4 linked regions of the Drosophila melanogaster genome follow. The gene in region 1 interacts genetically with each later gene. Each region holds a gene or a part of one and is shown in the gene's direction. Other genes may lie near its edges.

Evidence for each region.
Region 2: of amos (region 1) and lz, changing one suppresses a phenotype caused by changing the other (phenotypic suppression), as found in Drosophila melanogaster (2 studies listed by BioGRID).
Region 3: of amos (region 1) and ato, changing one suppresses a phenotype caused by changing the other (phenotypic suppression), as found in Drosophila melanogaster (2 studies listed by BioGRID).
Region 4: of amos (region 1) and Brd, changing one enhances a phenotype caused by changing the other (phenotypic enhancement), as found in Drosophila melanogaster (one study listed by BioGRID).

Annotation. Positions count from the first base shown.
Region 1 is NT_033779.5:18,594,005-18,601,635, reverse strand, and holds amos (absent MD neurons and olfactory sensilla), read left to right. Parts: upstream 1-4,714; 5' UTR 4,715-4,729; coding exon 4,730-5,326; 3' UTR 5,327-5,500; downstream 5,501-7,631. Other genes in the region: CG10413 (uncharacterized protein), read left to right, coding at 1-27, 88-279, 343-522, 585-1,026; CG15160 (uncharacterized protein), read right to left, coding at 6,262-6,329, 7,447-7,631. UniProt on the Drosophila melanogaster protein: Transcription factor involved in early neurogenesis; sensillum basiconica formation and maybe sensillum trichodea development. Promotes multiple dendritic (MD) neuron formation. Required for olfactory sensilla; regulated by lozenge (lz).
Region 2 is NC_004354.4:9,280,592-9,289,753, forward strand, and holds the start of lz (lozenge), read left to right. Parts: upstream 1-4,057; 5' UTR 4,058-4,145; intron 4,146-5,195; 5' UTR 5,196-5,329; coding exon 5,330-6,191; intron 6,192-7,740; coding exon 7,741-7,980; intron 7,981-9,162. Other genes in the region: c11.1, read right to left, coding at 1-796, 860-1,037, 2,202-2,358. UniProt on the Drosophila melanogaster protein: Involved in prepatterning photoreceptor precursors in the developing eye; in the larval eye disk it defines a subset of cells as an equipotential group that is competent to respond to the sevenless developmental signal and another subset that confer proper photoreceptor identity by positively regulating the homeo box gene Bar.
Region 3 is NT_033777.3:8,273,248-8,281,402, forward strand, and holds ato (atonal), read left to right. Parts: upstream 1-4,804; 5' UTR 4,805-4,878; coding exon 4,879-5,817; 3' UTR 5,818-6,027; downstream 6,028-8,155. UniProt on the Drosophila melanogaster protein: Developmental protein involved in neurogenesis. Required for the formation of chordotonal organs and photoreceptors. Seems to bind to E boxes. Specifically required for the photoreceptor R8 selection.
Region 4 is NT_037436.4:14,969,268-14,976,720, forward strand, and holds Brd (bearded), read left to right. Parts: upstream 1-3,399; 5' UTR 3,400-3,471; coding exon 3,472-3,717; 3' UTR 3,718-3,931; downstream 3,932-7,453. Other genes in the region: Tom (twin of m4), read left to right, coding at 160-636; ocho, read left to right, coding at 6,037-6,486.

The DNA of each region.
Region 1 (7,631 bases):
CGAGGCTCCCAGGGACTTTTTTCAAAAGTGTGTCTAACTTTTTTATCTGAAAGTATTACAAAACTTATCTATGTACATTTTTTTCAGCGGTTCCTCCCCCTATAAAACCGATGACTTTAACAATGGCGAAATTCAAAACTTCCCCATTCGACGCGATGGCGATCCGAAGCAATTCCAAATTCAGGAGTACGTTCAGATCCTGTGCGACACCCTTAGGATGAAGAAGAATCTGTGCTTGTGCAGAAATTTCCAAAGATTGGACAAAAACTTTATTTCCATGTGAGTTGAAAATCTACTTTTAATTCTTGAGCAAACTTTTGAAAAAAACATTATTGAATGCAGGAGCAAACATGTGAAGTACATTGATGTGTGGCCCATCAATATATTCAATCCAACATCTGGAGATCCCTTCGATATGGTGTCTTTGTTCATGATGCAATTGGCGGTGATTATGCTGGCCAAATGGAAGCATCTGAGAGTGAGGATTTTCCTGTGCGAGGCCAACGACGAGCGGACAGTGGGGTATGTGAAATGAATACAAAATTTTATAAACATTTAATATATTTATCGTCTATTTTACTCAGCACTTTCGACACCCAGACCCCGCAAATGGAGATTTTCTCGAAAATGAAGCTGGAGCAGTCTCTTAAGGAGCTGCGCATCACAGCCGACATTGTGGAGATCCAGGAGTGGAGTCGGGACACCGACTTCAGCCGACATGCACGCACCCTCAAGCAGTTCACCGCTCAGGCGGACAATGTGGTGCTGGAGGATGATGACGAGGTGGGCGAGGAGACCCTGAATCGCTCCCTTCTCTACATGCAGCGTGCCAATCAAATCATACGCGAACGCTCGGATCAGACGGCATTATCGTTCATCTATCTGGCCGCTCCGCCAAAGCTCTCGGCGCCGGATTTCGCGCAACGCAGCGCCAGCTATATGGAACTGCTAACCGAACTGACCGCCGATTTGCCGCCCACCATTCTCGTCCATGGTGTCAGCACGGTGACCTCCACAACGCTCTAGACTTCGAATTGGAGATATTCGCGTTTCCATGAGTGATAAAATCCGGAGTGCAACCGGATTTAACCAATTGTGAGGGTGTATTTCCAACATTGTGTGCGTTTTTGTGTGCTCGTAGCTTTATCGAGTAATATTATACATTAGGGTGAGCCGATTAAGTTGCAATCACAAAAACATAAGATCTACATGTTGCCGATGCCGAAAGGGCAAACATATGGCTCGATTATATTATTGCAACTACTTAAAAATGACAAACTTTTTAGACAAACCTTTTGTGTCTTTGTTTTATAATATTATACCAACTGCATCGCCTCACCCTATAAAAGTAGTATGCCTTTAGTTTGTTAATTTCATGTTGTAGCTAATTTAATATTTATTCGCACAGACCCACAAAACAGTGTCGTAAATTCCGAATCAAAATTTTTAATCATATCAGAGTACTATTGCAAACAATTTAATCGAACACACGTGGACCATCCAGCAATTGATAAATAATATCATATTCAAAACTCATCCCCAACGGAACTCACACCGATATTAACCTCTTTGTGATTGATTATGAATATCTACTATTACTAATTCACGATTAAACAGACCACAGGACAAAAAGTATTAGATAACCGCGTTCCATTGTGGTTGTAAAATTGATGATTTCATATTGCACTTAGTTTGTAATCCATTTTTGGAAGACCTTCACAGCTCGGACGGACATTGATCGATTGTCGTAGACAAGTGTTTTGTGTGTGTAAACTTTATGGAACTGTGACCTAGCTAATAATATAATAATTGATCACAGCATTCATTGTAATCGGTTCTTTCCAATATTTTAAATAAAGACTTAGCGATATGTATTTATGTAAATGATTTTGGCTTTTTACTGAGTGTTATACAAAATCTTATAGTCTATATATAGATTTTCAGTTATTTGGTTTCGCTATCAAAGGGCAAATTGGACTTTTCGCCACTATATAAAGCGATATTCTGTTTATTGTTTTATTGTTCCCTTATCGAAGCATCCATTAACACTTCCCCCTTTTCTAATGGGCGGCTCTTATCTGGCTTTAGCTTTGTTTGTGAATCGCTTACCGCTACCATTAACTGCTTATTAAGATAGGGGAGCGGGTCACGTGTAAAAGGACACTGATTGCCCAGCAGGAGCATCTAGGAAATCAGGAGCAGCGGCAGACGGTCAATAGAGTCATAAATGTCACCGGGGATACGGTTGGTCCTGTTGTTCCACTATTTATGTGATGACAATTTATGATACCCATCATTGAAGGTCGGCGTCGCACTCGGGATTGGCTCCGATTACCTGCCCGTGTCCTTTCGAGGATCACTGTCCGTTTCTGTAACTGTTTTTATCCCGATCACCTCTCAAGTGTCAATAAATTCCAATAAACAGTCGCAATTGCCTGACACTTTTCGGGGCGCTATCCTTGGCAGCCCAACAGACATTTTGTTGATAGCAAGGACTAGCCGGCCTGGTTAAACATGTATCCTTGTTGGACCTTGAAGTGTGCCGTAAGTTATGGCATGAGTTTTGTGGAACTGAGATCTAAGCAAAACATTTAAATATTTATAACTTTACTTTTGTAACCACTCTTTAAAGAGAAGGAAATTATTCTTTGACCTGGAAAAAAATAAAAGGGCGTACATTTAAATAAAATAATGATCAGCAAAAACATTTAAAGTATGCAATTATAAATTATATTCCAATTCTCCGCTTTCGCTAGGAACATCCATTTCAAGTTCTTGCTAGACATACTGTCTGGATATTTTTGCACATCTGTGACCACAACGAATTTACTTGGAAACAAACAAATCTTTGTATATAATAATTCATAATTCCAGATTATTACATGGTAATTATGCTCAGGACAATGAAGTTAGGTCTGATCCATTTCAGACCAACAATGGGACCAAAAAACAAAGATCCATTGTCAGGCATTGCAATACAAAGAGTGGAATCAACAAGTGTCGGGCGAGAAGAGATTCCCATGGAATTCCTGGTGACTCCGGGACTCTGACTTCTAATCTCATTTTCGCAATTTAGCGCCAACAACTAATCCGCAAAGCGAAAACGATTAATCTGGCAGGGAAAACCCAAAAACACGCAACTGCCAGACGTATCCGAGATTATCATCAGGTGACCTATTGTTGGTCAGAAGAAAAGAAACAAACGGGCATGGATATGGATGGAGTGCGGAGAGAGGTTCCCACTTTCAACCAGAACCGCCCACCAACCGACTACCTATTGTTGCTATTTTGACAGGATCGAGGTCCCAGGTAGCGCAGAAAAATGCTAATTGGAAATTCCAGAACCTCTTTTCGAAGGCGTTGCAGATCTTTAGGTTATCCGCGAACCTTTCTCCCGAAAATATTGCAGCATAATGCCTAATCTGGGCCAGGATTTCGACTAAGCTGCGGTCGCGTGGCACTCTTAACAAAGTGAACCGATCGAGCGATCGATCGATCCATCAGCTATCATCATCATCGTCAAGATCAAACGTCAGGATCCTTTGTCGGCTCGGGACTTTGTTCCTTGACAATTTGGGCGAAGTAACTGGGCCATCTTGCAGTGGCATCATTTGTACTCTTTAGCCATGCTCGGCGCTTCTCGGCCAGTGTTTTCCAATTGTTTTGCCCAGTTTCCTTAGAAATTCAGCGAACTCCTCGAATTGATTTTCCCTCTAATGCTGCGAGTCTGTGGAGTTAATTAGCCTTTCGATGCGGTCACTTGAAAGTGGGCTTGATCCCAAGATGACTGTGGAAACCAGAGCATACGAATGAAAGTATATAATGTGAGGGTGCAACATATTGCACCAGAGTTTCGAAGGACCCATCGAATGGTTTCAGCATGTTAAAGTAGTGTAGTTTTATTATCGGAAAAGTAACTCTTCAGTAAAGGCGTTAATATAGCACATTTCAAATCCCTTAATATGAAAATAATAATAAATAATAATAATGTGATACTTGCTTTGATTTCTTCATGCTTTTTTGAATTTCGAACTTCTCGACGTCCTGTAATTTGGCCATTGAAAGCAGGAGAAAGCCACTATTAATACACCCACTTAAATTTGACCCAATAAAGTAAGTACAACCGCCTAAAATCGAAAGTCACAAACCGCACAAGCACAATTGTTGCTCTTTGTTCTGTCCGAAAAATGGGGTTTGCATCCAACCAGTCGAGCACTCCACTCACTAGACCACAGACATGCAACCAAGATGATCCATGGCGATCTTCGATGGAGGCACACATTGTGGAAAATATTCCCATATGACAAGAGTCTTTTGTGCGTTCGCATTTTGACCTTGGCTAAATTTTGTTTGAATATAAAAAGTCAATTCCAGGGCAAGTAACAAAAGAGGTATGATTACAGACGGTAGCCAAATGACAGGTCAAACAAAAGGAGTCGACCTGTAGCTGATACAGTAAATACCTGGGAGAAAGAGGGAGAGAGTTGCAGCCAGAGACAATTAAACGTCTTGACCGCAAGCCAATTTAGGGCACGGGCTGTGCTGCTGATCCTCAAGAGGTTGGCAATCGGGTACCTGAGCGGATCGGATCAGCTTGAGGCAGCGAATCAGGTAACAGGACATATGTAGTGAACCAATCACGTGAGAGCTGAATCCTCGGCAGGCAGCTATATAAAGACCCATCCTCAAGCAGCCACTTCAGTTGTCCCTTGAGCCTGCAAACGTAAACATGTTGACCAACAACGAGCTAATGGAGCAGTTCTACTTCCCCGACGAAGCCCCAGCGATTCCCGAGTTCCTGAGCAACGACACCTTCCAGCAGTTGGAGCAGCTCATGTACCAGCAGGAGTTCAGCACCAGCGACAGCCAGTCGGATGGCGCCAACAGTTGCTCCTTGGAGATGTATTACGATACGCCGTCTGTCCTGGAATTGGAGCACATGCTGAATGCCCAGGAGCAGCAGCAGCACCACCTTCAAGCGAATCCCTTGGGCAAGAATCAGGGCAGAAGTCCAAGGTACTGGAACAAGCAGCAGAGGAGCAAGCCATACGACAAGCTGTCCACTTCCATGTCATCATCTACATCCTCCGCCTCTTCGAGCAGTTCATCGTCCGCGGGATTCGGTGGCGAAGTCCTCAAAAAACGGCGACTGGCCGCCAATGCTCGGGAACGGAGGCGGATGAACAGCCTGAACGATGCCTTCGACAAGTTGAGAGATGTGGTTCCATCACTCGGCCACGATCGGCGACTCTCCAAATACGAAACTCTGCAAATGGCGCAAGCATACATCGGGGATCTGGTCACGTTGCTGTCCAGAGACTACTAGCCAGTGTGGGCGATCCTTTATCCTTTCTTCCTCAAATGGAAGTTCCTTTTGCGGGCTGTGTTGCAGCAACACCTTCATATCCTAGTGGAAATCTTATAAAGGCTGTTAGTTTTACGTTTATTATCATAGTTGTACACAATTCAAGCAATAGTTTTATAATAAAAATGAAAATACAAATCAATTATATTGTTTTAAATTCATATCGTATGAAATGGTGGAGTTGGAATGAAAATAATGTTGTGCGAACTTGGAAATTTATATTTTGTTTGAATTGTATCTTTGCATTTTTTGCTGGTACATATACAGAATTTAGAGCAGATATTTTTAGAGAGAAAAAGGGAAAAATCCAATAAATATTTAAAAAAAAGATAGGAAGTTTATAGGTACTGAAATGTAAATAACTTATCAGACTTATTAATTTACATAAATATATGTAAAAACTCCATTTATCAATCCAACTGATGCCTCCACATTTGTTTTTATTCGCCACGCTTTCATCTCAGCCCGAAAAAGGGTATCCTTGTTATCCTTGAAAGATGAGAGCGGCATGGCAAGCTAGGCAGTGCGCCACGCCCACGAACCAAAACGAAAGGTCATAACATCAGTAACAAACCGAGAATTAATGAGTTCCGCTTCCGACTCAAAGTGATGGAACTCCAAAACAGAAGTGATTAAATGCCGCAAACGTCAACAGGTAAACACACTGAGGATAAACACAGTCGCTACCTTAGATCCTTCGAAGATTAGACGAAAATTGATTTAAACATAGTCATTTGTAAGTGCTATGGGAACTGTGGGTGGACCGAGCGAGTATCTATCTGAAACGGATGAAGTCGAGGATCCAGAAAGACAAAAGACGTATCGTACACAACAGTTTTCAATTGCAAATATCACATTGATGTTTGTATTTATAAAACTAAATACAGATTGTTAACTTAGCTTACTATAACTATGGTGTATAGCTTGAGTCCACAGAAATCTGAGAAATTGCTCTTCAATAAGTCTGGAATAGAATGCACAACGAAATAAGTAAGATAGTATATAGTAAACTAACTAGGTGGTCAATAAATGGTTTTCAAATGGGCAGGATGTTAATGTAATTGTCGAGAACTATATATTTTTCTTGAAATAAGTCAGATCATTGTAACATTTTTAGTGATACTTTGATTTCAACGATCGATGGATGTGAATGCCACCAATAGAAATATTATAGCCCGTTTTCATAAAATTAGCAAAACTTGAGATGGCTTAAACTGGATCGTTGGTAATCCAAAAATATTTATTCAATCGATATATACTAAATTTAAAAATAACGAAGATCGGAAAACATAGTTCTAAAAATGCCATTACAACGATCTGAACGATTGCTGAAAAGTGTTTTTTATTACCATTATATTTCGATTTTCATTATAAAGTTGTTAAAATGAAATTCAAATCGATATATATTTAAAAAGTTAATATCATTGACCATAAGTAAAGAGTATAGAACTTTTGAATTACGTTAACAATTAATTTTTGGACTACTTTTCGTTATAACTATTTACAATTACTAGTGTCTATGTTTAGCACTAGGAACTAAAGGCGAAGGCATTAACTAATCATACACTATATGCTTAATCTATGTCAACACACAAACATAAGTTAAGTCGAGGGTGTAAGTGTAAAGTCTTTGCACGTGTTGTCCTAGATTCCCCTTGATGAAGGCTGCTGACGTTGGCTGATTGAAAACAATTTGCGTTATCATATTTAGTCATCATTTAATAATTTACATAATAAAATAGCTCAACGGATTTCGTGAATAATTTTATTTAACTTTCACTTCAATTGCTGATGGCTTGTTGTTTTTCATGTTATATATTTTTTAAAATCTCATGAATTTACATCAATAACAACCATGGCTAGTTAATATTATACACAGCAATGTACAATATCTTCTGCCAACGTCATCTGCCCACCGCCCAAAGGGAAACCAAGAGAAGTGTGTGGGGTTAATGAGTTATCTGTTCTATGCAATACACTTTTTTGTTAAATTAAATCAAAGTGAGATAAGTGAAATCTAAAACTAGGTTCTCTCTTTTTGTAGATCTATAAAATACGTAATTACATCATCCATGCTTTACCACGCATACGCCCGCGGCCTCGCATGGGACCACCAGGTCCGCCACCCCGAGGAAAAAATGGTCGCGGCCCTGGTCCGGGTCCATCAAATCCCGGTCCGGGCATCCGTTGGTAAGGCGGTCTAAAAGGACCTGGTCCGGGTCCATTCCATCCCCGGCCTCGTCCACGCCCGCGCTGCATTCCATCG
Region 2 (9,162 bases), on another chromosome or scaffold:
ACGCAGCACCTCGTAGTGACCCTTCACCGTCTGCGGTTTCTCATAGTCCGGATAAACGCAGACCAGGTCGAACAAATGGGTGACCAACACGTCAATTATGCCATCCAAGACTGTGGCATTTAGTGCCAGATTCGTTTTCAACACGGAGCAGAGGAACTGCGTCACGGCATTCCTGTCCACGCTGCGTCGATAGAGCGCCAGGATCTGGGGAACCAATCGGGCGGCCTGATCCTGAATCCGGTCTTTGGGCAGCAGTGGATACATGCTGGACAGGGCCTGCAGTATCTCCACGCAAACCTTTGGCTCCCGGGAGTGCAGCCATTGATTGAAGAGCACATCGTAGGCCACACTGATCTCCGTGGAGCAGTTCTCCTCCTCCTTTTTGCCGCTCTCCTCCAGTAGAGCCTCACTGAATCTACCGATGGCATAGGCATGTGCCTGCTTGATGTGATCCTGGCGTATCCCGACTAGATGCGGCTGACTACGGCTCAATATGGCCTTTATGTGGGGCACAACCCCTGCCGGATTCTCAGTGGCCAGCAGACCGAGGCACTGCATCAGCATAAAGTGAGCCACACCTTCTGTACTTGTTCCCTTCTCCTGGAGCGCCTCCATTACCTGCTCACAACTCTCTGGGCTGCTCCGTCCGATGGCTACCAGGATGCGCTGGGCGGGATTCTGTATGAGTGGCAAATGCTCGGGATTCTTGGTGAGCTCCTGCAGCGCAAGATCAATAAGTTTCTGATTTGCAGCCGGCGGCAGAGGAGTTTCCGCTCCCACCACGCGACGAATGCAGCTGAAATATAGAAAGGTAGGGATTAGAACAGCTTTTAATTGCTGATGTCAAAGGGAAACCTACTCCAACAACATGGCCACTGTTTGATCGGTCATCTTCGGCTGCTGCGATCGATGTTCGCTGAGGATCTCCGCAGCCCGTTCCGGATGGGTCTCCAAGATCTTCACGATCGCCTGCTGCATGGCAATCCGCACCTGCTCCTCCTTGTCCATCAGCCCATCGAAGATGTTGTGGAGAACGCCTGCAAAAGGGCAACAAATGTTTTAAATTTGATTTCTTAAATCAGATCATATGGAATATAATCCAAAATTTAGTTGGCTTGTGTTAAGTCAAAGCTAAGATATCGTTTAAAACAAATGACTAATTTCAGCTAGAGCTAGCAAATAGCAGAACAATGGACTACACTCAGTAACACGAGTAACTAGATCAAAGTCAAGTTAACACTACATAGAGCCGTATTTACATAAGGTGCACAAACTGCAAAGATAGCAGAAGTGGCAAAAACCACATTGATTCACGGATTTAAATGGATGATAGGTTGATTTCGAATTAAATTATATGAGCCATTTTACAACATTGAAAAATGCATACCCCTATTTCATTGAACACAACTGTGGGCACTTTCAGTACTTATATTCTGATAAGAATTCAAATTGTCTGACGCATTCGCATAAATTAAAGAGCTTCACATCATATAAGCATCTATCAATAAAATGAAAAAGGCTAGAAAATGGCAAAAACCAAACGAAATGCTGGAATCAGCTGATTGGGATGGTCAAAAATACACGTCATCCCAGAGATACAAAAGTCCAATTGGACTGGACAAGCGATACTCTAGAGGACTTTTCGCATTGCAATGTTATTTTTGTTCTTATTCCAACAATTAGCTGTAAAACAAAAAAAAACACACACTTACGCATGCAGATGATTAATCAAATCGAATTGAGTGCAATTTGTGGGTGTAATTGTGAAATGTTGTTGTATTGATTTGTCTTGCTCATAAACGTGTTCTAGATGATTTTTTAGGGCTTCACACACTCAACAGGTCCCCATAATACACACGTACATAGATACGAAAATAGAGTTATTTAGCTGCTCTCCTTTCGCTAAAAGGATTCCCCGTTACTTTTGGGCGCTCATGTGTGCGTTGTGCCTAATGCGTAGTTCTATTTTTAGAACAGGACAAAAGACTGCGCTTCGCCTAATCACAAATCCCAATTGGAGTGGGTGGGGTGGACGGGCAAAACGCCCATTTCACGCTAAATCGCTCTCAGCACTTGTGCTTGTGTGTGTGTGCGCTTTCTAATAAAAGATTCCATGGGTCCATCTTTATCTTTATCTTTATCTATGGGATTAGGCAGTGTTCCCTTTGTTTTCATTTTCATTTGCATTTTCGTTTGCTTACCTTCCAGAATCGTTGGCTTATCATTGGGCGCCGCTGTGGCGGTAGATGCATCGGCATTTCCAGTGGCGGCGCTATTTCCAGCAGCTGATTTGTTGTTGGCGGATCCTCCCCCTGTGGCAGCACCACTACCACCGCCGCCAACCCCTCGGCCGTCCATCTTCTTGGTGGAATTGCGCGTTCTCTTCCACTTCTCCAGCTTAACGGGATTTCAGACAGCGATTAACTTTAACGCGCACTTCGCGATCGCGGAAAAACTCGGAAAAACAAGAGATTCACTGCGTTGCGAAATTGTTTGTGTTTAAAACGGGTGGCTGCACTCACATAGGGGAAAAACGGCTGTGGAAATTTTAGTACGTTTTTTATCAACACCATGGACTAGTTGGGCTTCCGAACATGGTGTGTGCCCTCACTGTTCAGTGGTGGCGCAAACCATAGATGACCATAAAAATGAAATTCAAATGTACTGTGTATAAAATAATAGTTATGCATACAGTCTCGTTTTATTATACGGAATTAGCAATTAAGTAAATTTTAAATTTTAAGCTACACAGGCAGTACAGCATACTAATACAATATTAAAGGAAAAAACGCTTTTGAGGTAGTTTTGAAAGTATTTGAGAGCAATTGAAATGCTTAATTTTAATCACTTGATAGCACTTCTGAAATTAAATAGCATAGACATTTGATTTTCTCGCAATTTCTGCCCTCGCAGATAAGCTGACGTTCTTCTCACGCTATTATATTCCCAGCGATAAGAACTATTTCCCTTCGATGTGATAAGTCGGAGGTAAATTTAAAATAAACACTTTTTAAAATCATAAGAACTCTGCGTTGTTATTTTAATTCGATATCAGTATTTCGACCACAAACCAAGGCTGAACCACAAAATATGGCCCAATGATAGTCTCTTATCACGCCTTTCCTTCGCTAAAAAGAACACATGTCATTTGGAATCCTTGTTTTCTTTGCGCTAGCAACAACACACAGTTTTTAATTAACACTTTTTGCGATAATAGCAGATTTGATAAGCATGTTAAGTATCAGTTTTAAAGTAGATTCTCTGATTTTCATCTCTAATATCCAAAATGTATCTATATGAATACAATTTTCCATAAGTGCGTTTTAAATACATGTATGTTAAATTTTAAATAAAATAATAAAAAAAAAAACACAACTTATTTATTTTCTCATGAAAATCTAATCATATCCAGCTCCTAAATATTTTCGAAATTTCCCGGCTGAACAAGAGCGCCGCTCTTAAGTCGTCACGCTCTCAGCTGATTAAAGAGAGCGCGCTTAAATGCGATTCCAATTGGAAGTGGTTGCAGCCGGTGGTGGATGAAAATGTGTCCACCAATGGCGCGCCTCAAATGCCATGTCCACCTGACCAATCAGAATCCGGGGGCGGTGCCAAGTGCAAGGGAAACGCAGGAGCGAGCGAGAGGGAGAGCAACTGTTTATTTGATTAAGCATTTAAATTCTATTATTTTTAGCGAAATTTATTAAAAATTTGATGCAACAGCACTGCGTGGAATGGTGACTTGTCACAATGCACATACTAGGCCATGCATTTACAGAAGAGCAAGAGAGAGAGAGAGAGAGAGAGAGCGAGCAACTTAAGAGACCCAAAACGCCCCGGCCAAAGAGAGTCGTTCTCGTTCCAATTGGCTCGCGAGGCAAGTGGAAAAACGATTGGATTCGACTCAGAGCCGAGCTCAATCGTCTCGCGAAATTCAAGCGGCGCAGTCAAAAGTTAAAAGTCAGTTTCAGTTATGTTTTGGAGTACGACGCGCGAGCATTATTGTTTCCATTGTTAGCGAAGTTTTTAATCGACTGAAAGAAACACAAGAAAATAACACCTCGCTTACGTGTTAACCCTTTTTTTTTGTAACTTGTGCTTAAGTCACTTAAAGAAATACCGAAGAAAGTAAACTAAGTGTGTGTGTAAGTGTTAAACAAAGTAGTAAACAAAAAGCGCGCCAAAATCGGCTAACTTTTAGTTATTAACTCGAATTTCGTCACCAACTAAATTTAAACAAAAGAGCGACACAGTTTCGCCAGAAACTTGCATTCAAACATATTGTTAAACAGTTTTACATTAAACTAAACACAAACCAAAGTGCTATTAAGTGCAGTTAGTAACAAAATAAAAGTGATAAATGGTGACACAAACGAATTAAGGCAATGTTTTTATGACAAAAACTTAAGTTCATATTTTTTAAGGCTTTATTTTGCGACTGTGAAATAATTTGTTTACTTTGTTGCTTGTTCTCAAACAAATAATATACAATAGTAATTGTAAAAGCTTCTTATACATTGTTTGAATAAACAAATAACTGACTCTTTTACAACCATTTATGATTACTTGGGAGATCAGTTGTGAACATTAAATGTTTATATTGTACTATATTGTTTTTACACCGATTCCCAGAAATATCATCAAAGTTAAACTCGAGAAAAGGAGGCCCGTCTGCGAATCGGGAGTCAAACATAGAGTATTACTAATTAGCCGAGTGAAGTGCAAACAATAAAAATATCCAAATCAAACGAAATCAAATTTAATTAAGTTCAGAAATCATCTGGCAAAAGCATGCTCAAAAAAGAGAAAGAAAAAACAACAATAGCAACAAATGCACCGCTAATTCCTGTGACTAATTTATCAAAGTGCGAACTAGCAAAATGTCGATCGTCGTAGTACTCGCAGTTATTTAATATGTATTCAGAAAGGCAAACATATTTTTAATCATTTTTTAAATTTATATATATTGTTTTTTGCAATTATTTCTTTATTTAAACGTACGCCAGTGAACTGTTTCTATATGTACTTTAATTAAATTGCTTAATATGAAACAAATTTGAGATGTTGTCATGGATTGTTTTTAATGAATCGATCGGCATTTTAAGTTTTCAATTAAACACGAATCTTTCTCATATCGTAAGTGCAATTGCAAACAATTGTTAAGTACGCTTTTTTTTTTCTGTGAATTCGTTTAGAGATTAGAGTTTATTGATGAGTGAACAAAAGACACCGCCGGAGCGAAGTGTGATAAGCGCTTGACCTGCGACCCGCACACACTGCAAGAAAAAAAGGGGCAAGCGAGCGGATCAAAGGTCACCGCCGTCGACGAATGCATTTGCATCTCCTGGCGGCAGAGAAGACGCCTCCATCTCCATCTCCAAATCCAACTCCAACTCCATCAGCATCTCCATCTGGGCATACGGGCGCTGCTGGGGAGTCGCAATTGGACTTGGCATCGCAAACGGAATCGCAATTGCAGCTGGGCTTGCCATTGGCTTCCGGATACGGACTCGGACTCGGATTGGGACTGGGCTTGGGATTGGGACTGGGCCAGGAATTGGTGGCGGACCACAGCACCACTGTGGCGCCCGTCAGCGTTGCCGGTCCCGGCCGCCTGGGTCGCAGCATCAACGGCAGCGGCGGCAGCCACCACCATCACCACCTGCACCACCACTACTCACCGTACCACCACGCCCACCCCTACCACCCACCGCATCCGCACGCGCCCCACCACCACCACCACCACCACCCACCGTATCCGTATCCGCCGGCAGGACCACATCCGCCGGCCATGGTCACATCGTCATCCACATCGCCGACGGGCAACGGCTGGAGCAGCTCCACCGGCGACTTCAAGGGCATCACAGCGGTGGCGACGGCCACTGGCGGCGGCGTAGGTGGTGCCACCCAGGGCGCCACTGCATCCACGGGCGCCACAGCCGCTGAGGTTTTGGCCGTTTCGAGTAGTGCCAGTGTTGGCAGCAGCTCGCCCACAGGTGGCGCCAGCAATGGTACAGCCCATAGTGGGCATAGTGGACACACCGGCGGTCACAGCAGTAGTACCGCCAGCAACAACAACAACAACGGTGCCAGCAATAGCAATAGCAACAATAACAACGCCGTTCACCAGGATCTATTGTGGATGGAGCGATTGGTACAGAAGCGACAACAGGAACATCCCGGCGAATTGGGTGAGTTGTTGGTGGGATATTACCAATAACCTAGTAGTAACACAGTCTGCAAAAGGGTTAAGGATTAATAGCTACCTTAATGTCCTTCAAAATCAAAGTGAATATGAAGATATAGTCTAACTGGATTTGTAATTTCCCGTGAACAAAATTGATTGAACAGAGGGATTTAGCTTACTAACTGTAAATAGCAAATTCTTTGCTACCAGATTCCCAATATGATCTATGGTTCTTGATATAATATATCTTATGAATATAAGATTGATAGATAGATATATATATCAAGGCAAGCCTCTGCGGAGACAGCTCTTCCATTCACAAGGTATCAGCATCTTTAGCTCGTGTCGAGGGGATCTGGTGGATGCTTTGCAGGTCTGTTCGATAATCCGATCCCCGAAAGGTGGAGCGCACATTCTTGCCACATCCTTGCACAATGCACTTCTGGGGCTTCCACATCGTGGCAATCACGATCATCGGACGCAGCCTTATCGGATTCCATGGGTATGATGATCGTGATGATGATACCGATGGCGATGATGATGGTGATGCCAGTGAAGATGGGACTGGCATCGCCGTCGGAATATGCGTAAATTGATATCAATAATTGTTATTGATATCAACGCACGAGTCGTTCCCCTTTTTTATTTTGTTAATGCCACCTTTTTTTTTTTTTTCTTATTCCTTGCTGCCCGTTGAACTTTCCTCCCGATTTATCAATGATATCAATGACCCAGAGCGAAAGCTGCTAATGAAATCTCAGCTCATCGCACCGTCAGTCTTGAAATTAGCTGGGGAATCCGCAAACTGGTTATCCTATATGATTTTTTTTTTCACTTCTGAGTCCTTTCATAACTTGTGCTCAATGGATAGCCTTCATATCGAATTGCAACTATCAGGACTTTACACTCTTGTCTTAAAGTAATATTTATATTCCATTCCATTTGAGTTAGTATCGTACCTATGGGATTCAATCAGGATCTGGATGTGCCTAGTCTATTACAATTTATTATTACACAGTTTGGTTTTCAGGGCAGCGCACATTTGATTCCTGACACCTATGTAAAACATGATTTCCAAACCTACAGCGGTGTGACAAATTAAATTTAATGATTATCAGCAATTAGATGTCCATATTTCGGTCTATTTTGCGCGCCAGTCGCGAGTAAATAAATCATTTATTCAGCCAGCCCAGCTCTCCACACTTTGCTCTACTTTCGACACCAGGTCAACAGTCAAACGTCATCTGATAACCGATAACCCCTTCCGGTCCGGTCCGTTCGTTCCGTTCCGTTTGACATCTCCCCGCTCATTAATTAATTATGCACCGCCGGATGGCGAGTCGATGGTCGAAGGACCCAGTATCCAGCATCCTGCATCCAGTGTTCAGTATCCACGATGATTGATATTTATGGACCGACACGAAACTATAAATAATTGAATATTTTTGATGGCCGTGAAAATGTGATTTTAATCAGCGAACCCTTGGCTAATTAAAACCAAACTGATTTATCCTGATTTTTTTTTTTTTTTACCCACTTTCTTCATTTTCCAGTGCGCACGAGCAATCCGTACTTCCTGTGCTCCGCCCTGCCCGCCCATTGGCGCTCCAACAAGACGCTGCCGATGGCCTTCAAGGTCGTCGCTCTGGCGGAAGTGGGCGATGGCACCTATGTCACCATCCGGGCGGGAAACGATGAGAATTGCTGCGCGGAGCTGCGCAACTTCACCACCCAGATGAAGAACGACGTGGCCAAGTTCAATGATCTGCGTTTCGTGGGACGCAGCGGAAGAGGTGAGTTGCAGTGCTGTCCGAACGGTCACTTGGGAATTATAAGCTAAAATGGAGAGAAGAAGTGCAAACGGTAGGCGGTGTGAAAAAGAAAGGAGTTGGTAAACTAACTATCTTCTGTGAATCAGGATCAGATCAGGATAATATATAGTAATTTCTAATAACTGATGAAAATGATCTATATATAACTTATATACTTTATAGCACTTTATATCACCTTTGTGTTTTGGTTGACTATATAACATTTCTGAAAATTAAAGACTTCCTCGAGCACTGCAATCAGCACTTCCTTTGCCAAATGCCGATTATTGCGAGCCCAAAGAATGCTTCCCACAACTTCAAACGAGCGGAAGCTGTAGGTTTATCCTTTCAAACTTTCTTCAAATTACACTGAATGAAAATGATGCGTAATACGTTCAATTATGTATGCATAATTAACTTAATATGGCTTTAATTTCTAAAGACTTTTTTTTATTGAGAGTTACTTCTGTAACGCACACTTCATCATCAAGTATATGATGATAAAACTCTAACAAAATTTGTAACTTGAAGTATGAATTCATAACTTGCTATGTAACTTGCATGTAATATTTGGTTGGCAAATGCATTTTCTTTTTGTGCACCCGAAAATAGGTAATGAATGCATCGGAAGTGCATTGATTGAGTGACAAGCCAGAAGTTCTGGAGTGACTAATGCCGCCTGCGAAAAGGATCAATGGTACAGCAGTCGTCACATTAGGCAGCAAGTTGGCGCTGTCCTCGGGGCAACATGCCACATACAACATGCAATGTGCAACACAGCGTTGTTCCCAGCAGATCCCCGAACATCTCCATGTCGGACATGGTACATTGTACACGGGATATGGGATATGGTATATATGGGATATGGAAATGCGCTGGACAGGATCGGCTGGGCAGGCAGGCTGATCACGCAATGTTCCGAGCCTTTTTGGTTCTGGTAATCGATTTGAACCCACAATTAATGTGCATATGTATTGTGTTGCATAGAATTGGCAGCAGCAGTTGGCAGTTGGTTAATTAGCTGCAACTGTTGCCGCCGCTTTTGACCCTAAGTCAACCTCTGGCCAGGCGCACCACTTCCTCCTCCTCATCCTTCTCATCGTTGCAAACTGAAGGCTCGTGCCGCAAAAGGGCCAAGAAATTTATACTACATACGTATGTATG
Region 3 (8,155 bases), on another chromosome or scaffold:
GTCCTGATCCAGATCCAAATCCAGATCCTCATTCTTCCTTCTACTCCTACTCCTTCTCCCGGAGGTCAGTAGCGTCCCTTTCCGGGGGTTGAATTCAAAGGAATTCGCTGGGTCCTCCGGCACTCTCACCTTTTCCGCGGCCAACAAATCTTGAGTGCAACAATATGGCAATTGTTGTGTATTGCTACGAGAACTTGTTAATTGTTTCGCGCTCGAGTGGCCAAGAGCTCTGAATGGGCTGCGGCAGTCTTCATTCCGCGGTGCTTCTAGGTGCTCCTTGGGTTTTTTTTTTCAGGAAAACACTTTCCAGACGGCCCATTGTGGCCAACTCCATTCATTCATGGAGTGCAACTAGAGCGGGATCGTGACCCGATTGTCGAGGGGCAATCCTGCAATTGCTGCTTTGCCGCCTGCCGCCGCAAATTAGATGCTCAATTACGCTACGAAAATTCCTGGGTAATTCGTGGACCATTCCTCGAGCTTCTATCGAATTACACTAGCAGAAAACCTACATATACTTTACTCCATAAGGAACCTCAGGAATTGTAGTCAACCGAAAAATATTATTAACAAGGATGAAAATCGCAGTGTTTGATATAAATTTATGCAAATTAAACTCATAAGATTTTTGTACTAAAAAGTGATCTAACAATATTTTTCAGTTCCAAGAACTGATTTCATAGCCATTTTCGAAAGTGTATGCATTAATTCTCTATGCAATCATGACAGTGAGTCACTCCTAACTTGAAAGTGAATTTTGACCACGTGGTGTTTCTGGTCTAGTCGTCTCTAGCCCTTTGCCAATAATTTTTCATCCCGGCCACTTCCTTCCGCAAAATGTTCTCACACTTGACCCGCTGTTGGGAGACGCCCAAAGGATCGGATCTCGGGAACGGGTCGAGATCGGAAGTGGTTGAGCAACAGGAGGGGACAGCATCTCTCCTAGGCATCGCCAATGTTGCTTCAACAATTTTTTTGAAAATCTTATTAAAAACTGTTGTTATTTCTGCCGCGACCTTTTCTTCGTCCTTTGTGTGTGAGTTTCGTTTTCGTTTCTTTTTTTATTGCTTTAATCATTTTTATTTTGTGCGGCTTCCGTGCCACCTGTTATGGTTACTACCATGGAGCCAAGGAGTCCAGAGGAGCGAGGAGAGCAGCCGAGGTCCTTCAGAGCCTTTTTGATTTTTCTCAAGTGATTGCGTAGTTTTCATCTGTTTTCTGTGTTCCAGCGAGCAGTGTTTCAAATTTGAATTGATCACTTGGCAGGGATCTGGGATAGGGTTTCGTGGGACCAGGATCCTCGCTTATAACAATACCAATCACAATTTGTCGATCGGTTATGATGCACTTCCGATTCGGAAACGAGGGTAGAGCCAACAAACAAGGATCCAATATGCACCATGAAACTAATGTTTGATAGCCACATTAATATGCCAACGAAAACTTGGGCTCCCTTACTATGCGCTTTGAAATCGAATCTTGTTTTTCAGATCTGAGAAATCTGCTTTCAAAACACAAACTCGTATGTTTCTAATTAGAGTTCAATTTGTCAGTGCTTCATTTGTTGAATCGATTTGGTTCTAAGAAATTTGTTTTCGATATAAGTTAAATTTTCAAGATAGCATGCAGTACATGGCACCTACATGGACATGGTTAATCGACCTGCATATCAACTATCTACTATAAAATATGTGTAGCGAATTTGTCTTGTTTCGATGAAGGATAAAAGGATCACTGCTGGCGCCAGTCAGTTGCGAAGATCACCTCAGATACTGATCGGCAGTAATGTTGGCAAAACAACACCACCGCGCTCGAATTGCCGCATCAAAGTCGGCGACAAAAATCGCTCTGACATGGTCCGATCCAATCTGGGCAGATACGCTCATAAGGAGCACGGAGCTGATGTGCCATCCCTCAGCCGGATGATAACCATCAGTAGGCAATCTATGACAAAGCGCCGGCACAACAGGAGGTGAGGGCGTGCCCAAACAATGACACAGTGGGCGCTGCAAGGACTCGACTCCGACTACTCTGTGGACGTGTGTATAATCTAGTTTTAATTTTCATGGGAATTAACCCATGGCCGTCACAATTTTCCGGCCACTTCGTACAATGTGCAATTTATGCGATATTTGTTTAAGCAATTTTGATCAGCTCCCAGCGATGATAGCCAGTTCCAACTGAATCCCGTCCAATGTTTGACTCCACTTGACTTTTTATCCCCGTCGAGGAGCATATGTACATATGATATTTTCCATTTTTCCACCGCCCCAATCGGTGGTCAATATTTGCAGAGCCAAGTCAAACAACGGTCTCACATAACAAGGGGAGCTCTTTCCTCCTCCTCGACTTGGTCCTTCTGCATTTGCATATTTAATTTGCCTTTAATGAATTTTCAATTTGACAATTGCCGAAATGCCACACAAGAGGCCAGGATTCGATTTGGGGCCAGGCCACCCACGTGCACGGAACTGGGGGAATGGGAACTACCCCAGTTGCGGAGATGGCATGCCATGCCGATTGCATGTCCATGTCCATGTCCGTGTCCAGACTCCTGCTCCTTTCGCTTTTCGCTCTCGTCTGCAAAATGGGACAGAGTGTTAAATGCTAATAAAATAAGTAACATACAAATTTTTCAATTTCAGCTAAAAAAAATAACTGGGCCGAAGACGTTTAAGTCGAGCAGGAGCTGGTGGACTGGGATTCGGTCTGGATATATATAAATATGGATCTGGACAACACTTTCACGGCCCAGAGCGACTTGCTAATGGGAGTCGTTGACGTGAGCCTACTTTCCTCTTGTTGGCATCTCTTGCGCCTACACGTTCCTCATGCCGAAGAGAGTCCTGGAAAGAGTATACTGAATTAGGCCGGCTAGTCAGCAATTTGGTTACTTAACAAAATGTAGAAAATAACTAAATTAATTTAGTTACTGCGTCAATAGTTTAATGGCCTAAGTAACTAATACATGATTTGAGAGTTTAGTAAAAAACCCAATATACAATTATAACATTCACCATATTATATTACACTCAAGAATATACAGGTTGGTTTTTCTAGGATAATATAAGAATATGATTTGGATATGACTACAAGAGTGTTTCATGTTTCACCCAAGCAGATTCATACCCATTCAATTGGCTTTGTCATGCGCTTTCTGGAAGCTGCTCCACATCAGTTGCATTCCCATCGATGGCCAAGTTGCATTTATGCATATTGACATGAAAGAAGTGGCCCGTTACCAGCGTATTGATGCCAATGAGCTGGAGCTGAGGTATTGGAGGTACTGGTACTCATAAGGTATGTGGGTCCGATGTGAGGGATCAGCCACTCGATAACTGACAGGCACGCAAGGCGCCCGATGCCGACCATTGGCGAAAAAAGAACTCGACTTGACTTGGAATGACCCTTTTTGCCCCCTCGACTGGCAGCACGTGCATATTGCGATGCGGCAATGAAAATGTAAATTTCCCAATCGATATGCAGCGGATGCCTTGACATCGGCTAATGCCGATAAGCGAAAAACTTTACAGCGGAGATGCAATCCGAGGGATACGATCTGCACAGGTACATATTGCAGGTGTAACTACTGTCTGTTGCGGCAAGTGGCTCGTAAATTGCATGGAAGGACATTCACGAGGGACGTTCAGGACATTCGAGGTCTCTCAGGGGTGGACAAAAGGTCAAACATGCCTGTGTGCGTCCAATAAATTGGTGGTGCCGCTCTTGGTGCGGTTTGTTGTGTGACATTTTTATCTAATTGACAGCGTTTTTATTGCCCGGCAAAAAGATCAGATCCTTTGGGGCGTGCTACTAGTTGTGCGACTGGGTGGCCGCGGAACTTCAAAGATGCCCGAACACTCCCCCGCAAGTGGTTGATGTAGAATTCGTTGCATTATGATTTCCAGCGAATCATTAAGGATTAAGGGGCGTAGCGAAGGGATCTAAGGACCACCGTGGACGCTTCGTTTTGCTGTGTCATCCTGGGATCTACAACTAAATTCCCTGCTCACGATCGAACACACGGCCGTATTAATTGCAAGGCGCTAAAATGTTAACCCAGCTCTTAGTTACTGCCTGCCACGCTTATTAGGCACGACGAGGGCTAAGGTGAAGGTCAGTCCTGGCACTCGGTCAAGCGTGTCCTTGAAGGGCCGGCGCTATCATCTACCTTCTTCATGGTACCGGCAACAAGCGTATCAATTGGAAAATTTGCCAAGTTGTAATAAACAAGATTTTTCATTGCGATATTCCGCCCCCGACTTTGGGTAAGCATGTCGAATGACCCGGCGGCGGTGGATTTGTAAGGATTTCCCTAGCCGTGATCAGGTAGATCGAACCCACTTGCAACCGATGCAGATTAGATAAACTCATAAGACCCGCTCTGCCATTTGGTGCTGACAAATCGCCAAGGGATTTTTGCAAATTTCGCTTCGCTTTGCGGTCGACTTTAATCCCGTTTAGGGATTCAAATCGATTGTTTGTCCAAGTTCTGTTTACATTTCCGCCCATATTCCTGTTCCGGTTGTGCCGGCCATCCTATAATCATCTTGTTAGCGGCTTTAGATGCCCAGATAGTCGGTTTTCTAGCGCCATTTTAAGCTCGCAACGAACTGAGGTATAACCGGGCTCTCTGAGACCGCTGCAACTCACCACCAACTGCCATTGGTCGTGCCACTCGGGCGGCACGTGCTGCCTTCTGTGGCAACTCGTTTACCTGCCCCCCTACCTGCCTTTCAGGCCCTTCTGACCGTCGTGGTGGATTTGTGAGTATAAATAGGGCCGAAAGGACGAGAGACCAGTCAGAAACCCGCCAGCACTCGCAGCGTTCGTATCGTTTCATCCAGCAACATAACACCACCATACAGCAGCAGCAACATGTCGTCCAGTGAGATCTATCGCTACTACTACAAGACCTCCGAGGACTTGCAGGGCTTCAAGACAGCCGCCGCCGAGCCGTACTTCAATCCCATGGCAGCCTACAATCCCGGCGTGACCCACTACCAGTTCAATGGCAACACCCTGGCCAGCAGCAGCAACTACTTGTCGGCCAATGGCTTCATCAGCTTCGAGCAGGCCAGTTCCGATGGCTGGATCTCCTCCTCGCCGGCTAGCCACCGATCTGAGAGTCCCGAGTATGTGGATCTCAATACCATGTACAATGGAGGCTGCAACAACATGGCCCAGAACCAACAATACGGAATGATTATGGAGCAGTCTGTTGTTTCCACAGCGCCTGCAATTCCAGTGGCCTCTCCTCCGGCAGTGGAGGTCATGGGCTCCTCCAACGTGGGCACTTGCAAAACGATTCCAGCCTCAGCAGGTCCGAAACCGAAGCGTAGCTATACCAAGAAGAACCAGCCAAGCACCACCGCCACCTCCACACCGACTGCAGCTGCGGAGTCATCTGCCTCAGTGAATCTCTACACGGAGGAGTTCCAGAACTTTGACTTTGACAACTCCGCCTTGTTCGATGACAGCGTCGAGGATGACGAGGACCTCATGCTCTTCAGTGGCGGTGAGGACTTCGATGGCAATGATGGATCCTTTGACTTGGCCGATGGTGAGAACCAAGATGCCGCTGCCGGAGGCTCTGGAAAGAAGAGGCGTGGCAAGCAGATCACACCCGTCGTGAAGAGGAAGCGTCGCCTGGCCGCCAATGCACGTGAGCGTCGTCGGATGCAGAACCTCAACCAGGCCTTCGATCGTCTCCGCCAGTACCTTCCCTGTCTGGGAAACGATCGCCAGCTGTCCAAACACGAGACCCTCCAAATGGCCCAGACCTACATATCCGCTCTCGGGGATCTGCTGCGCTGAATTCCCGGATCCCGATCCCAGTCCCAAGTACTATTCTCAGTTATTGTTGGAGCTTGCCAAATGTTGTAGCTACTTTGTATATATTGCCTGGAGCCCAGTAGTGAATTACCGCTTAAGTATTATGCTGTTTATTGTTTAGTTAATTAGCCTAAATGGAAGACAATGATTAAGACTAAGGAAGACAAAATAAAAGCACCATTAATAATTTAAAACATATGTTCGTTTTTTGTTAACGGGGACTTTCTAACAGTTTTAGTAGCTATGCAACAATTCCTAGATGCAAAATGATAAATACAAAAATTCCAAGCCATCCAAATCCTTTCATCTCTGAACAATTCTGTTTCCCCAATCCTCGATATCCACACTTATCGGCGGGGCATCAATTCTCACACAGTGAATTGGACTTTATTATATGGGGGAAGGTGATCGATTTGGCGCTTCGCGATCAATTTGTAGACAGTTCGACAAAATTAGGGCCCCTCTTAATCGGGTTGGCCAAAACAAATACGCAGCGGACGATAATTACACGGCACGGCGCGCCGGACTGTAGCTGCCAAATTAAGTTAAGTGTTGGGCTGATCTGCTTTCAGCAGTCGCAGGTCGCATGCAATGTCCGTATGTCCGCTTGTCCGTATGTCCATTTGTCCGTCGCTGTCCCTGGAACCTCTGCAACTTCATATCCCAGTGGAAGTCCCAGTCGAGCCCCGAAAATCAAGCGCCACTCACAAATCGTTTAATACGAAGTTCGATCCCCGATCGTTGTTGGCGGATAAACTCAGCGGCTTAAGACTTTAAGCCGAAACTGTGCACTCAGCAAAACAAGAAGGTGTTGAAGAAGTTTTGTTCAATAAGTTAATGTAATAAATAATATTATTTAAGGTAATATAATAAAATGTATATAGTACAAGATAGGATCAAAGCAAACCTTTATAGTTAGTTCTACACAGAATTCATTCCCTTTAAAATATAATTAAATATATTATTTAGTGATATTAGATGGATGATATTTTTGGATCTGTTGAATAAATAAATCCTATGACGATTTCTGGCAGTGCAACATATCATTCAGCTTAAAACGGAGCAGAGATCCCCGGCCCAGTCAGTCAGTCATTCAGTCAGTCAGTCAATCATTCGTAAGATTCGAAGCCAATTTGTTGATAGCGACAGCAACGCCCGAGTGCCGGCGATTCGATCGACTCCCGCATGGGAATTGGAGCGCTCGGTGGCGGCTAGCGAGGGTGGGGGCGTGGCAGCGACCGGATTTCGTGGGCTGTTACTGTTTGTTTTGCAAAATCATTTTCGGGCGTCGCCGCAAAAGCTGCACGGATTTCGGGGCACATAATCAAAAGGAAATTCACATAATTAGTTAAGCGGCAGCGCGGCATCGACAGGGCTTCGTTAAATTGTTAATGACTTAATTTAGTGATCGCGAGGTGCGGGCGTCTCCCCAGGCGTCTTTTCCAGCGGCTGAGGCAATTATATTTGTATAGGCGCGAATGCGAGGCATAAAGGCGATATCCTGCCGATATCCCTGGAGTGTCGCTCTTGTTAGCGACAATTTACGGCTTTGAACGCTTCCGCACAAAGCGCTGCCGTCAATTTGTCAATTACACAAATTGTTCGGCTCCGTTCGGTTCCCCCATCTCAAAAGCCACGCACAACAAAAGGGTGCGATCCGTCGTGATGCGGGAAGAGAGGCCTTCCTGCCAATATCGGTCGTTATTCCCGAGCAGCTACTCCAGCTACCACCTGCATGCAGCTGCACAGCACAGCAGAGATTCGGAGCCTCGAATTCAGATCCAGCTTCCAAAATGCAACTGCCTGCCAATACAATTAGTTAGAATTCATGAATGGCAACTCGACCCCAGTCGAGTTCTGGCATTCTGACTTACTGGCTCACTGCGTTTCGGCATTCGGCTTTCAGCTTTCGGCCTTTGGCTTTTGGCAGTGCCGCCGACACAGCAGCAACATCACGCCGGAAAACAGGAGGAGCAGTAGTGGCAGAAGTGGCAGAAGTGGCAGAAGTGGCAGAAGCGGCAGCCACTTGCATGTCTTTGTCAATTTATAGACAGCTTGCCTGAGCATTATTAACACGTATTATTACGGGTATGCATTCGATGTCCGTTGTGGGGCTGCATATTTTGTGGGTTTTTCTGGCCGTTCGAACGGGGGGAAACGAATGCCCCCGAAATTTGTCATGTCGATAATTGGCGAGCTTTATTTTGAGGTTTTTGAGGTTGCTTATATTTTTTGTGTCCGACGCTTTGGTTAGTTAGTGCATCTGTATCTGTAAATGTATGTACATCTGCGTTAAGTAACTTAATGAGCTTTAACACCA
Region 4 (7,453 bases), on another chromosome or scaffold:
TGTGCGAGAATTCTCCCCCGCCGAGAGAAACCAAAGAGAGCAAATCGTATATAAGGAGTCGGTCGTGCAGCAGGAAAACCAGAATACTACCAACTCTCAACCGAGTGCAACCAACTAAGATCCCAAGTTTTATTATAAATCTCAACAATCCTCAACACAATGTCGTTCATCACACGGGAATACAAGTTTGAGAGCAGCAAGGTGATGGAGCCGAAATCAGATCAGCACACGATGGCCATGCGGAGTCTGAGGAAACTGGTCAAACCCCTTCTGCGACTGGTGAAGAAGAAGCAGCTACTCCGGAAGACTCTGGCCGAGATCCAGAACCAAAATGCAGTCAACGCCTCGCTGGAGGACATGCGCAAAGATCCGGCGGCCAGTTGCGATAACATGGCCAACGAGGAGCTGGAGCAGCGACTGTACACCGATCTCCGCCAGTGCCCCACCAACGTGGCCATGATCGTGCAGCAGGGTCAGCAACAGAGCATCGTGCCCGTCCATCCGGAGCAGACCTTCATCCCGGTCCACTTCGCCCGCACCACCAGCGGCACCTTCTTCTGGACCTCAGCCGAGGGAGCTCGCCAGCACCACGAACAGCAGTTGCGCCAGCAGTTCGACCGTTGGGTTCAGGCCTAAACATCGCCAGGATGCACAGTTCCACTTCTCGATGCACCGGGAAAAACTCCAATTGGCAGCTTTAAGTGCAAGTGTCTCCGTCCATTGGTCGTCGGATGGATGCGGGTTCAGCTTCGCATGTTCGTAATCTCAGGGTGATATTAGGCATAGATTGGATTCTTTGGGCTCGCGTCCCAAGGGAAACACAACTCTAATTGATATTCAATTATCACAATCAAGCGTTACTATCGTTAACTCATTGTGATTTATCGTGTCTTATTAGCCTTAAGTTAGTCTTAGCCGAATCATTGTCTTCCATGTTTGTTTGTTAGGGTCTTCGTATAAGAATTAGGCTAAGAATCATTGTCTTCCATGTAAAACTTTAGCTATAAACACTAATATCATATAAGAAATAAATAAATCGAAAAAAGGAAATTCTAATGTCTCTTTATTCTGAAAACTGATATGAAATAATATGAATAAGGTTGGAAAAGAAAAATCCCAAATTGAATGACCATTGTAAGTATAGTTAAATTCGGCTACTCTGTACAATTCTGATTTGAAGAATGGATTTTAAATTGGACTCGCTATGCTGGTGAACACATTCCAATTAGTGACTGCATTCATTCCTGCTTGGAGACCATTTGAATCCAAAAATGCTGCTGGTAGGCAGTTGGAAATACTTCCGTAAGAACAATAAAGAATTTTATTTACATTTATATTTAGCCTGACCACAGGCTAATATAATATTCACCAAATATTATTTTTTGTCTTTCATACAATTTCTGCATCTGTTATCGTTAAAATATGATTTTTGTTTCAAATATACCTAATATATACCTTTGTAGTATATATGTATTTATTTATTTATTCTATTTATATTTCGAAAATATTGGTATAGTAAATATCATATCTTTTCATATCATATTATGGTTCACACGCTTCACACGCACCCCAACCACCTAGCGCGAGGTCTAATCCAGCTCAGCAGCCGTTCCCGTCTCCGGCGAAAGGACCTACCAACCCAGCGAATAAATTATTAGGGCCGTTTAAACATAGAACAGTTGGAAAAATAATACAACTGTTCAAAAAATACTTGTTATAGTTAAGATTTTTAAACTTATTGTTAGTTCTTATACAAGAAGATTCAATAAATAAAAGCAAAGTAAAATAAAAAAAAAATATTATGGTTAAAAAAAATTACTGTTTGTATCTACAAATATTAAAATACTACAAAGAATTCTTCAAGAACTAATTATAAGAAAACCATATCAAATAACCCAGTCTAAAATGAATAAAATAATTTTTAAAAATTTTGAATGTGCTACAAACGCGTGAATTCTCAAAATTCTTTAAATGAGTCAATGATAAATATTTATCACAATAATATCATATATAATATGTATGTATATACGGCTAACAAGCCACCGAACTGAAATAAAATAAAGATAAAGAATTATGTATTAAAGAATACATGTATTTTCAGTGTAAATAATTTTTTTTTATAAGAAAAATGCAACATAAGTCATATTACAACACTCGATCCACAATATTTTGTTTCACGATAGCCACAAGCTAATTATGCAGGCTTCATTCTGGCGCTTGAATTTCAGGAAACCTGACACTAACAACTAAACTTGAAACGCCACCAAAATAAAATCTTCAAGTGCTTATGGGGAATTATGCCTGTGGAATAGTTAAGCGAGCCACAAGCACGCTAGGTTCCTGGTTGGTCACCCCCCAAGTGGATGGGCCAGGATCCTATCCCACTCCATCTAATGCAACTGGATTGGAATACGAATGAATCCCAAATTACAAGTGCCAAGTATTTCAATAGGAGACGAAATTCGAATTTCAACAAGAGACGAAATTTTAATTTTCTTGGAGAGCCCGAACCAACACACAAGTGTGGGGACAGTGAAACCTGTCACAGAAAACCATATTTCCAAGTGGTGGTTCCATGCAACAAGAAATCCAAAAATATCTTAAATCCCTATAGCAGATTTAAGGGAAAGATAAAGAAACCTTTCATGCAATAAACGAAGAAATTCGAGTTTCATTACGCTCCAAATTCAAATTTTGCCAAGGACCAAAACAACCCCGAAGAACAAGTGTGAGGACAGTGAAGCCTGCCAGAGCAACTACGCTGCAGTGAGTGTGGAATCTTGAAAATCCCTGCACACCTTCGAGCGAATGTTCACTGTACTCGAAAGGACCACAGTCTACCTGTACTGATCAAAAATGAAATGTTGACGTGTAAATATTTCTCGTTTGCCGACAACATGTGTTTAACGAGGGTCTGTCACTTTTATCCTCCACTGTCAGCCTATTAACAATTAATAGCCAAAAACTAATCAAGGCATAAATTCGAGCCGAGTCCTCCGCAAACAAACCACTCAAATTACTAACCCGAACCCGATGGAAAAGGGATGATCGTTTATTTTTTCATTTCTTTCATTTTTTGGCTATTTGTTATGCTTGCCGGCATCGTCCTCCTATTGGCATTCGACTGAAATTATACTCTCCCACGACGAAAACGAAATCGAGGGAGAGATTTATTTAGGGCCTACGAAAATTGTGGCCTTACTTCGCACACGTGCAAGGGTCGCTCAAAAAAGGGACCCGAAACGATCCCGAACTACCTGCAGAGAGTTGAGGAATGCGTGACTCTCATATTTTGAGAGACCGAGAAACACCTGCGCGCTAGGACTCGTCCTGATTGGTTGACTTAGGGGTTGCTTTCGCAAGGATCGGGTATTTAAGCGGTGCGCAATTCCGAATAGGACATCACATTCAATCGCAACGTTGAACAGCCAAGATCAGTCGACCAAGCAAGCAAACTACTAACTAGCAAAAATGGCCTACGAAACTCTGATGAACACCACCATCTACACCACCACTCCTGTCTGCCAGAAGAAGACCTACACACCCGCCAAGGCCATGAAGAAGATCTTCAAGGTGGCCTGCAAAATCTTCAAGGCATCGGGCCACCAGCAACTGAAGAACCACTCCATGCCGAAGGAGCTCCCACTGCCCACTTCCGAGGAGGAGCTGCAGAACTCCCAGAACGAGCAATTGGAAGCCGAGCTCGTCCAACTGTAATCGAGGAAAATGGGAAATCCGAAAAAAAATACCACTTTCCAATCAGCTTTAAAGACTCCAACGGATTCGGTCTCTAAACATCATCCGCAACAGCTTTAACTCTCCACACTGTGCAAGTGGAGATTTTAAAATGAAATGCACAAATATCCAGCTTTAATCATTGTCTTCCATCTATGTTTAAGAGAGTATGAATAAATACATAATATTAATACCGAAACTTGTTTGCATTTCTGATTTCTTATTCGAACTTTCCCTTTGTCATTGTAATTTCCTCGAAGGTTTTTCCAAGAATCTGTAAGCCAAAAACCGTTCTTATCCCGTACCCCTGACCCTTCCACATTCACGGAACAGCGAGACCCTAAGAACCTTAACTCGAAAAACAAAACCTTTACCTGTTCCCTTTTGTTGGAAACCTGTTGTGGATTCGAAAAACTCGAAAAATCAAGCCGAGTGAGCCGGGGAAACCTGTTACCTCCAGGCGATTTCTGATTTTCGTTTTCAGCGCTCCTTCTTAGGGTTGGGCCCTGGACAAAATAAATCTCGAATTGCATCGGAACAGGTAGAGGGTCCCGGTCCCAGTCCCTCGGATGATAAACAAAAAAGGCAGGGGCCCTACGCTACGAGCAGAAACAAAGCCAATCCTATCTCAATAATAAATGCGAAAAGGCCGCACGGTTCGGTTCGATCTTTATGGCATTTCAAAGGGGGCATTCTCGTACATAAGATCGTGTGTGCGTTATGTAAATAGTTTTACATAAAGTCGATGCAGATTCCTTATTGAAAGCATACAACCAAGTACAGTTCGGGATAATGTTACAGGTTACAGGACCCGTTGGAGTTTTAAATGGGCAATGATATAATACAAAGATAATGATATGATGATATGATGATGATAATTTTATTAAAGAAACAAAAGTTTAATTGATATTAATAAATCTAAATAAATATTTGTGTTTGAAATCAAGATAATTACATAAATATTAAAATAATTTATAGATTTGGGCGTTGAATTTAATTTTATTAAACTCTTATTTTTTATTTTTGTGATTCAAACTCTGTTATGTGTAGGATTTTGTTTGAGTTGGGGTAAATCAAATAACAATATTTAAACCATTACTAAACATTACAATAAATTCGTTTATAAGATAGTCGCAAAAAATGTGTTGTCGTCGCTTTATTAAAAACAACAATATTTTATGATATGTATCATATATGCAAATATATATGACTAATTAATTAATATTCATTATTATTATTTATTTAAAGATTCTAAGACCACTTACTTAACAAACCATAGACATCATACTTCTTCAAAACAAAATATTTGTCTCTGAGGATTTCAGCTCTTTTGTGGCCCTAAGTAATAGAAAAAATGAAACCTCAAGTAAATTTATATTAGTGATTGCTACAAACACAATTTGATATCAATAGGGCCCAAACATCTAAACAGACCTCATCTGCAGTTTTATATTTCTTTAGGATCTTTTCAACCATTTAAACACGGGTTACAAATTCTCACAGGCTGTAAATATAAATGTAAGGCGAGCAATCACCACATCCCACAATAAATGAGTTATAATACGATACATTCACAAAAAATGAACCCCCATTCTACAATTAATTGAGGGGTCTGAACCAAAAAAGTGAGGACTAGAGATGTTCAAAAATGAAACCCTCTGTCGTGACACGAAAATATTTGGGAAGCCCGCTGCCCAAGTAACCAAAATACGAGGAGCTCCCCAACTGAACGTGAGAATTCTCAAGATCGTGCCTCAAAGGACTTTCTGCGATGCCATCCCTAATCAACCGAACCGAAAAACATAAGAATGAAAGTGCACGATTTGTGTAAATTTGGCTTAGATTGTAGCTGGTTTTCGGTTACAGGATCGACATATTTCTGATGAACTGGCAAAACAAACCCAGTCGAAATCCAAAACAATAACTGGGTCTCCGAGAGAAGGCCGGCAATGTGCTGTTCCCACGCCAAGGATTCGTTTGGAACCCGGGGATAATTGTCTTGAAAGGAGGAATGGGCCCGAGATTCCCACGCTTCGCACAAGATCTCGAATCTCAGGTCCTGCAGGACCTACCTGCTGCCACTGACTAACGTGTGAAATTTCGGATCCTTGCACCTGCCTGCCTTCCGAGCGACGTGATTGGCTGAGATGCTGTAGCATCGCTCCTGTCTCCCAAGAAAGTATAAATAGCGCCTCTAATCTTAGTGACAGCATCACACAGCATCCGAACGTCGAAGCGAGAACATCCCAGCACGCATTCTACGCACTCACCACCAGAAAATATCTGAACGAAATTCATCTAATGTCGGCCATCAGCAAGCAGAAGACCCTCAACACCATGTACAAATCGAAAGTCTCGCCTTCGCGTCGCCTGAAGAATCTGCTGAAGCCGCTGCTCGGTCAATTCTTCAACATGAAGAAGGAGCAGCCCAAGAGGAGCTCCTACATCGCCTCCGAGGAGAAGGAGGCCGAGTTCGAGTGGCTCAGCAACGATATGGACAACATGGCCAACGAGCATCTGGAGCATCGCCTCATCGAGGAAATCCGCCAGTGCGCCAAGGAAGATGCCGTCATCGTTTACAATGAGAACGGATCCGGGGAGCTGCACACCATCGACCAGGAGGATTACTATGTACCAGTGCATTTTGCCCGCACCAATGCCGGCACCTTCTTCTGGACATCGGTGCAACCCAAAGCCTGCGAACCCTATGCCATCGAATGGAACTTCCTGGACCGTTGGGCTCAAGCTTGAACGAAGTAATCGCCTGGAGCTGCAACTTCAACCTTGAACGAAAAATGGGTTTTTTCAACTTTCGATTGGGATAACTTCAACTGGACTGGAGCTCGGTTCTCCAGCGGGATGGGTACTCCAGAGTTTGGGCACTTCGACTTTGGGATCATCGATCTTGGGCAGCGCTTTGCGGAATTTCTAACACACTGGAAAATCCCAAAAAGCGATTGGGCATCCACAGAATATTGTGGCGGGAGATATTCCAGCAATTGCTCCTTTTTGCAGTGCAAAAATGGATTTCAATTGTTTGGATTTTCAAAATACATTTGTAAACAAAAACTAAAAATATACATTGAAAACATATTTGAATTTCTTATCATTTGCGATGCATGGCATTCTCAACATGTGGGCCAGTTTTGGGTAAAGATGCGAAAGGTCCTGTCTGCAGATCCTTCAAAGATGTGGGACATTCCCACGGCACCAAACCATGTGTTGGGTTTTTGTTTACTGTTACCCAAAGATCTGGCTGAGATTTCGGAAAATGTGTGGAAAGCGGTGAGGAAAACTACCATCAGCTCAACATATGAGCGTTTAGATAAGAAGACAATGGTCTCGGTTCAAATATTTTAAACAAACTTCAGATACGGGAACAATAAAATAAACTGTTATGTTCAGATAGCAGCAGCAAATGAAAGTCTTTAAAAATTGTCTTATTTTTCGTATATTTTCAAGATAACCCTGATTTATTTAATTAAGTTAATATTGAATTAAGGATATATCAAGCAAGAACGTTTAAATGTAAAAAATGTAATAAAATATGGGTTTTTAAGACATTTTAATATCTAAAAATATCAATAACAGATGTTTCTAATATTATAAAATAATATTATTTTATCATTCAAGCACTTATATTGCCATTATAATGACACTTGCGAACATTATTTTCAATTTAAATTAGATTATACATATATGGCTTATAAAACCGAAA